Linked DNA regions of Oryzias latipes. Each later gene encodes a partner of the first gene's protein in a complex. Links are inferred from orthologs where the notes say so. Each region holds a gene or a part of one and is shown in the gene's direction. Other genes may lie near its edges.

Region 1 (4,217 bases):
TATATTAATAGGTCTGATTTTGTTTTTTCTGTTTCTCACAGGGAGGTCAATGGGCTTGGTGGTTGGCATCAATCCTTCATGTCTCATATTTGGACTACTGATGCAGCTAACTGTCTCATTCTGCCATGATACATAACCTCACTCTTCTAAGCTGCTTCAGGACTGTGATACAAAGCACAATAAAAAATATAAGCAAATAAGCAAGATACAGTTTTTGTGAAGAGGAAATAAGCAACATATCTGGAGTTCTTCATGTCATGTTTCCTGACATTTTAGTGAACGTTGTTGCAAATTCCCTTTTTTTTTCAAATTAGCTAAAAGTACAGCTTTGCTTTTGATATAAAAACACAATTATAACATTTTGCAGCGTTTTCATTTAAACCCCATATAAAACCTACAATAAATAAAAGTTAACATTTATTTTTCTAAAAACATGTATATTGACAAGGAAAAAATGTAAATTTTTTGCAAATGAAAAAATGTATTGACATTTTTTATTTGTCTGTATGTTACTGCAAACTGTCAGGTTATTTTGTGTATATAGTCAATAGTTAAGACTGGAAGTATTAGTGCTTATCAATGACAGTCTATTGTTGCTGTGAGTTTATTATTGTTGTGCTTGCTTAATTTTCTTTAACTTTTAGCTGAAATGTTCAGTTAAACCACTTGGGCTCTGAATGACTGTTACTTTATTAAAAGGAACCAACAATTAAACTTTTATTTCACAATGTATATTTTTACATTTTCTGTCTTTTGTTCTTAGATCTTCTCTCACTGATAACCTCAAATGTTTTGCATACATTTCAGGACTTTCGGAGGTCTAAAAAACAAATCCTGGCAGTCATAAGGCAAGAATCAGGGGACCGCAAACCCAACAGTAATCTATTCATCAGTCTTTTTCAAATATTATAAGTTCCGAATCATATCTAACAGGACAAATGTTCAATATTTATTCAAACCAGGGATACTCTTAGAAAAAACAAATTCATTTATTACTCTGTAATTGTTTAAAATTTTCTTTGAAATAAATCTCTGTTATCTTAGAATTTTTCTTTTGTGTTTAGTAACCTTGAAACATTATGGGCGTCCTGATTCTGTAGATCCAAGAAAAAACATATTTTTGATAGACATTATTTACAAGAACTTGTGAAGAAAAAAGTGGTATAAAAAGTTGGTCCACCTGAAAAGAAAATAGAAAAAAAAAAGATTAATAATTACAAATATTTATACGTTTTTCATTAATTGTTTTTATATTGTTATTTCTGCCATAGTGTTTACGTTTTTGAACATTTATAAGGGGGTTGGCAGTCGTTCCTTATAATTGTGAAAATAATCTAGAAATCATTTTTGTAAGTTTTTCTTTGTTTGTTTTAAATCATCGTGAATAAATTCCTCGCCTGAAATAGCTCTTTTGGCTCGGGGACGTCACATAAACTCGCGGTGACGTCAGGAGCAGCTACTGAGCATGCCCAGCGGCAGCAGCCTTCACGTTTCTCCGAGCCTGTCAAACACAGCCAACATGGCGGACTGGGGTAAGAAACTAAGTTGGGAATGGAATATATTTATACACCGTAGTCTTGTTGTAAACTTCTTTTAAAAGTTGAAAACTATATCACCATAAGATTATAGCGAGTTGTCTTCGCATATTGAATGTTTTTTCTTATTGTAGACGCCGAGACCTTCGAGCCAGAGGAGCCGCTTAAAAAGGCGGCAGTTGTTGTTGCAGTTATGGACAAATGGGAAGGCGAAGACGAAGAGGAAGATGTTAAGGTATGCCTTCATCATGTCATAGTCTTAACGTGTATATTTAAATTCAGGTATATCTGTATTGTTTTTTTAGCGGGTCGTTCACGAGAGTCACGCCGACGTTAGGCTTAAAGCAGATCGCTCTTGATGCCACGCTTCCTCCGTGTCCGTCAAGCCCAACCTTAGAACTGTGTTAGCTGTATGTTAGCTAGCGGATGGCTAACTCGCGTGCTTCCACAGACTGTCCAATGTTGAGCTAACACCAGCCCTCCGTCCGGGTTTCACTAAGTGACAACTGAACGTTGTTTTAGCAAACTATTAACAATAGAAATAATATCTGCTTTGGTTTATAGTTTAGACTTTGAAATATACTTTTCATTTTAGAGGATTTATTGGCATAGATATTTGCTAACAGTTAGCCTGTTTTGGACGCTCAGCTGGGCACGACGATGCTTATTTTAAAAAAGAAATGTCAGAAAAGTCCAACTTTTTTTCTTCTTTTTACCAAAAGTGGTAAAGTGAAAATAGGTGAATAATGGCAGTAACTGTGGGCTCCGGTCTGCTGACGTTAGCTAATAGCTCGCTTACCAACTTAGCCTCAGTCAGAGGAAATCATTCTCTCTGCTGATGATTCAACTCGGCCAAAAGGAGGCCTAGAATTTTCCGACTTTACGATGGCTGAGCAGGAGTTTTGAGCTGTTGCGGCTCAGCTGACACTGCAGCTCAGGTGGCTTATATGAAAATATCGTGTTTCTTCCCAAATAGTTCAGCCGTGGAAAGTCTTAGTGTAGGCCTTCCTGGGATAAATGTATATTTATTTATTTGGTCACATATGCCATGGTGTCAAAGCTTGGGAAAAAATTTACTTTTTTTTTGCTAGTAGTTTGCTATGTAAGCAAGTGTACTGTTTCATAAGTGATAATTGGACATGGATGGTCATTTCTGAATAAAACTGCTCTTTTAGTGAAAATATCTCATAAGTTTAAACTAACGTAACTAATTTATTAATTCATTTATTAAAATAAAGTACACTACCCACTACTAAAGGAACAGTAACCTTGTTTTTGGGGAAACATTAATAGTCAATAAGTACTAGGTGCTGTTGCAATTATTTTATTTAGGTTAATGAGTTTTATTTATTTTTGCTTAATGAATTGTTCTGTCATCTCATTTGAGATCACATGTTGTAAAAGCTTGAGTTAGGCTTCACAAAGTGGGTGAAGACATTTCTGTGGATTTGAGGGATAGGATTTGGCAACATGTTGCAAAAGACAAAGTGGTTAATGTTGCAATAAATGCAATAAAATAAAGCTCAGGAATTTCTGGTATAAACCAAATTAAGATAAACTAATTTAAAAAAGAAGTAAAAATACATTTTTAAATCAACCTTTTTTTTCTGGAAATAACCTAAATATGTTTTCTTTCTTTCTTTTTTTTAGGATAACTGGGATGATGATGAGGAGGAAGATGATGAGAAGAAAAAGGAGGAGGCGAAGAAACCAGGTACTATAATCATTAGGAAAAACTTGCATTTTTATGGGTATGAATGTTGAAATGTTTCAAACTTGTGTTTACAGAGACGAAAGTTTCTGATAAGAAAAGGTTAAGTGAAAAGATCAAAGAGAAGGAAAACCGGTTAAAGAAGAAACAGCAGGAGTTGCAAGAGCAAGTATGTGTTGCTATGGCCTTTTTTTATTTAAACGGTAAAACAATATTCCTATAATGTTATTGTTTTTTTGCTTTCTTTAGGAACAAGAGGAACTAACTCCTGAAGAACAACTTGCAGAAAAGTTAAGAGTGAAAAAACTACAGGAAGAGGCTGACTTGGAGTTAGCAAAAGATGCTTTTGGTAAGAAAGAGTTGGCCTCTTCATTTCTCTCTTTCCAGGAAGTTAAAAAGAAAGGATTTTGCTCTACACTATTTTTACAATTAAAAACATTTGTTGCACCAATGAAAAACTTTTTTTTAATGTAACTTTTTGTTCTTAGAAGACATCTAAAAACGTTTTTTTTTTTTTTCTTTCTCTCACCTCAGGTGTTGGCAGTGTCACCGGCATTGATGCCATGTGTCCATCCTCCAAAGAAGAATTCACAGAATTTGAAAAAGTGCTGAAAGAAAAGATATCCCAGTTTGAAAAGTCTGTGCATTATTCAAGTTTTTTGGAATCGTTGTTTCGGGAACTTTGTATTTCATGTAAGGAAGACCTCAGTTTCATTTATCCTCAACATCACTTCTTAAATGCCATTTTCTTTATAAATCCAAGCCGGCCTAATATGTGCATCTTTTTTCTTTTTCATGCAGTGGAAGTAGAGGACTTAAAGAAAGTCAGTAATTCCCTTTCGGTTCTACTTAGTGAAAAACAGAAACAAGAAAAAGTAAGTTCTTGATCATCTAAAAGTGACTACTTGTACAAAAGGGGGCGCTGTTGACACATGGCATTGTTGAGAAGTTTGTCTTCTCAATTTCAGCTT
Region 2 (4,214 bases), on another chromosome or scaffold:
AGTCCCTGACCTTTCCCCCTCCCTTGGTGTGTCTTTTCTCCTTCCTTCTCTCTCAGACTCAGCTTCTTGTCTCCACACCCCTTCTCTCCACGCTTCATTTCGTGGTTCTGGATTGAATGCAGGCAGTTCTCGGGGCAGTTGGGGAGGCAGGTAAGCTCGGAGGGGTGTGTGTTTGGAGGGACCCCCCTCCCCTCCCCACTCTTCAGGTATCAGCTCTTCCAAAATTCCAACAGTTTCCTCACTGCAGGACTCCGTGATGATGAAGCTAACTCTGCTTTCAGACAGTGGAAACGCCCCCGTTATTTGGATAAATGAACAATAGTTAGAAAGATGCTCCATCACAGAAACTCTCACAGTCCGTCCCCAAGTCCAGGTAGCACTACACTCAACGAGAAATCCTTTATGATTTTTGAAAAAATTACCAACGAATCCAAGTGAAAAAACGCCAAGGTCCAATTTCTGCAGAGACTTTATTAATTTTTTATTCTGAAAAAGTTTCCATTTTTATTAATATAACTCAAACACAACGTGTCTCTGCTGCCCCCTTATGGCAGTAACGAGTAGTTCACTCCCGTTACTAATAGGCCCAGGATGCTTACAGTCAGTGTCCCGTGCACACACTGATGCCAATACAACCACCAGCAGTGTGGGGTTCAGTGTCTTGCCCAAGGGCACTTTGACACAGGCAGTCAAGGTGGGAACCGAACCTGCAATCTTCCATTGAGAGGTTGACCGCCCTACCTCTGCACCACGGTCGCCCAAGTCTTAGATAACTTGCTATCTGTGAAAGAACTGTATGCAGCCACATAGCATGTGCAACCACAAATGCAGATTCTGAGTCATGGTTTCTAAAGTGGGCAGAAGAACAAGTCACAAACAAACGTAACTGTTCCAAGGGCGTGGAGTTTTGTAAGGTGCTTCCAAACAGGGACAGTCTCGGGTGAAGCAAGTTTGATATTAAAAAACACTGTAAAGGAGCCATCTCATGTAGTTATTTACCATCTGCACGGAGAACATTAGGATTGGTCGTAATTTTATAGTTCAAACCGACTCAGAAGGTTGAAATAAATTATTTAAAATAGAAAACAAAGATGTTATATTACATCACCAGGAGTCAGTGTGCTTTTAGCATTTCCTGATCTTTTATGTTTGTACACTTCTGAAAATAAATAGACACCAAGCATATTGACCATATTAAAGTGCATATTTTAGAACTGTTCTGAAAAACTTTGAGTAATTTGTTTATGGGAAACAATAAAAATAAACTAGTTAAGCAAAGAACTGCTTCAAATGTACCTTTAGTATTCGTTGTCTGATGCAAATCTCACTTCTTCACAGCAAGAATTATCAGCTGAGAACCACACCAAACTCAATATCCCATCATGCACCGCTGAACCATTTCCTGAGTTTCTCCTTCCGGTTTTCCTCCGTACTTCCTGTCAGCGCTGCGTGGTTTAGCGGCGTTAGCTTGTGGGCATCACGCATAGCTTTTCTCCTGCTCTGTCGCTGAATTTGTCACAGAACGCGCGAACATGTCGTACCACGAAGAAGAAGAAGTAGTAGTAAGTTTACACGAATACGCGCAGATTTCCAAAGTTAGCTTTGAGTTAGCCATGATTTAGCCACTCTGGGTTCCAGCCGGTGGAGCAGAAGAGCTCGCTAGCCAGCATGCTAATGTTGTTCTGTTTGGTCCTATAATATCTCTTTATCATCTGGAACGGTTCCGTTATGTTCGGTATTGATGTGTGAAACCTAGTTTGTCGTTAAAAACTGACTTGACGGGTCTGGATCGCCGCCATAACAATCCCCCGTTTGTCCACAGTACGACCCATACGCCTACACGACCACCACCACCACCACCACCACCACCACCGACTACGACCTACACACCGGTGAGTATGCCGTTAGATGTGCAGAGTGATGTCACTCACTGTGACGTTTCTAACTCCCATCAGGTCAAAAGGTCGTGGCACAGACCTCAGCTCTGCTCCAGACTGAGGAAGGAACATTTGATGAAGCCTCATTCGTTGAACAAAAGTTTTCCCGTTCGCCTCCAGGTGACCCCAAAGCAGACCTGGCCTTTGAGAGGCAGTATGAGCAGCAGACGTACCACGTCATTCCAGAAGTCATCAAGAACTTCCTCCAATATTTTCACAAAACCATCTCCGACTTGATCGATCAGAAGGTCTACGAGCTGCAGTCCAATCGGGTGTCCAGCGAGAGCATCGAGCAGAAGATCTACGAGATCCAGGACGTCTACGAGAACAGGTACGGCCGAACCGTCCCGCTGAAGCCTGCTCAGGATGATGGACACGAGCCTGACTAGTGTTTTCCGGTTCTGCTCCTCATCAGCTGGAATAAACTCACGGACCGTTTCTTCAAGTCGTCTCCGTGGCCGGAGGCCGAGGCCATCGCTTCACTCGTTGGAAGTGGTGAGAGCAGCGGGTCATGCTTCAGGGGAAATAATCAGGAGTTTCATTTTGTGGAGAAACGTTGACATTTTTTAGAATAGTCTCCTAAATCCCCCTCAGTCTTTTCTGTCCTTAGAAAAAATGATATCTGCTTGTTTGTTGCAGACGCCGTGTTCCTCATTCTCTATAAGGAGCTGTATTACAGACACATCTACGCCAAAGTCAGCGTAAGTGTCAGCGCAGCAGAAACACTGCAGTGCATTGTGGAACCTTATTTTGACTAAAAGTTTCTATTTTTTAAATCAGGGGGGCCCGACTTTGGAGCAGAGGTTTGAGTCGTACTACAACTACTGCAACCTCTTCAACTACATCCTCAGTAGGAGCTGCCGCCTCCTTCTGCTGATCTCAGCACTTCAGGAGAATCGGGTTGGTTGCTAACGTGAGATTGTTTGTAAACAGATGCCGATGGCCCCGCCCCTTTGGAGCTGCCAAACCAGTGGCTTTGGGACATCATCGACGAGTTTATCTACCAGGTACATGACAAGGTTCTTCCAGTGCAAATGATCAGCCGTGGCGTCATTAAAGGTCGGCTCACTGGGCCGTCGGTGGCATGGCGAACAGGAAGTACGGCTTTGGAGTCGCGGTTGAGATAAATGACGTCACTCCTCGTGTCTCCTCAGTTCCAGTCCTTCAGTCAGTACCGATGCAAAACGGCTAAAAAGTCAGAGGAGGAGATCGAGTTCCTGAGGAACAACCCAAAAATCTGGAACGTCCACAGCGTTCTCAATGTTCTCCACTCCCTGGTGGACAAGAGCAACATTAACCGCCAGCTGGAGGTCTACACCAGTGGAGGTAAAGACAAAAAAAGATCTTTTTTTTTTTTAGCTTTGCCCTTTCAAACCTCTTCGTCTCCATGCAGGAGACCCAGAGAGCGTGGCTGGAGAGTACGGACGTCACTCTCTCTACAAGATGTTGGGTTACTTCAGTCTGGTCGGCCTTCTGAGGCTGCACTCTCTGCTCGGGGATTATTACCAGGCCATTAAAGTTCTGGAGAACATTGAGCTCAACAAGAAGGTAGGATTGGAGGCCACCTGATGAACTCTGTGACTCCATGGGTGCAGAATTCTCCAGAACCTTCTGGATCTTTGCCTTTCCTCTTCCAGAGCATGTACTCTCGTGTGCCTGAGTGCCAGATCACCACCTACTACTATGTGGGCTTTGCCTATCTGATGATGCGCCGCTACCAGGACGCCATTCGCGTCTTTGCCAACATCCTGCTCTACATCCAACGAACGAGAAACATGTTCCAGAGGTCCACCTATAAGTATGAAATGGTGAGGAAGAGCAGGTGATCGTGGATGCTGGTGACCTGAGCAGCTGATCTTCACACAACCTGACTGACCTGCTTTCAGATCAACAAACAAAACGAGCAGATGCACGGTCTGCTGGCCATCGCCCTCACCATGTACCCGATGCGCATCGACGAGAGCATCCACACCCAGCTCAGGGAGAAGTACGGCGACAAGATGCTGCGCATGCAGAAGGGGTGAGTGGGCCGGCCCTCCCCAACCCGCTGCAGCTAGACCGCCGCCTCAGCTAGACCGCCGCCTCAGCTGACCCTCTTTACCTCCTCAGAGATCTGCAGGTGTTTGAGGAACTCTTCAGCTTCGCTTGTCCTAAGTTCCTGTCGCCCGTGGTGCCAAACTACGACAATGTTCACTCCAACTACCACAAAGAACCCTTTCAGCAGCAGCTGAAGGTGTTTGCTGAGGAGGTGCAGCAGCAGGCGCAGCTTTCCACCAT

What was found. Proteins that work in one complex are often made in the same cells at the same time.
Region 2: eif3j (region 1) and eif3l share a complex: the UniProt entries of both Homo sapiens proteins name them as parts of the eukaryotic translation initiation factor 3 (eIF-3) complex. The link is inferred for Oryzias latipes from reciprocal best matches to the Homo sapiens genes EIF3J and EIF3L.

Annotation. Positions count from the first base shown.
Region 1 is NC_019861.2:18,399,569-18,403,785, reverse strand, and holds the start of eif3j (eukaryotic translation initiation factor 3 subunit J), read left to right. Parts: upstream 1-1,417; 5' UTR 1,418-1,465; coding exon 1,466-1,532; intron 1,533-1,669; coding exon 1,670-1,770; intron 1,771-3,185; coding exon 3,186-3,249; intron 3,250-3,323; coding exon 3,324-3,415; intron 3,416-3,495; coding exon 3,496-3,595; intron 3,596-3,780; coding exon 3,781-3,939; intron 3,940-4,047; coding exon 4,048-4,121; intron 4,122-4,217. Other genes in the region: stereocilin, read left to right, coding at 42-136. UniProt on the Homo sapiens protein: Component of the eukaryotic translation initiation factor 3 (eIF-3) complex, which is required for several steps in the initiation of protein synthesis.
Region 2 is NC_019873.2:29,649,447-29,653,660, reverse strand, and holds the start of eif3l (eukaryotic translation initiation factor 3 subunit L), read left to right. Parts: upstream 1-1,409; 5' UTR 1,410-1,532; coding exon 1,533-1,562; intron 1,563-1,822; coding exon 1,823-1,892; intron 1,893-2,057; coding exon 2,058-2,268; intron 2,269-2,352; coding exon 2,353-2,432; intron 2,433-2,576; coding exon 2,577-2,638; intron 2,639-2,717; coding exon 2,718-2,787; intron 2,788-2,870; coding exon 2,871-2,944; intron 2,945-3,091; coding exon 3,092-3,263; intron 3,264-3,330; coding exon 3,331-3,485; intron 3,486-3,574; coding exon 3,575-3,745; intron 3,746-3,823; coding exon 3,824-3,957; intron 3,958-4,046; coding exon 4,047-4,214. UniProt on the Homo sapiens protein: Component of the eukaryotic translation initiation factor 3 (eIF-3) complex, which is required for several steps in the initiation of protein synthesis.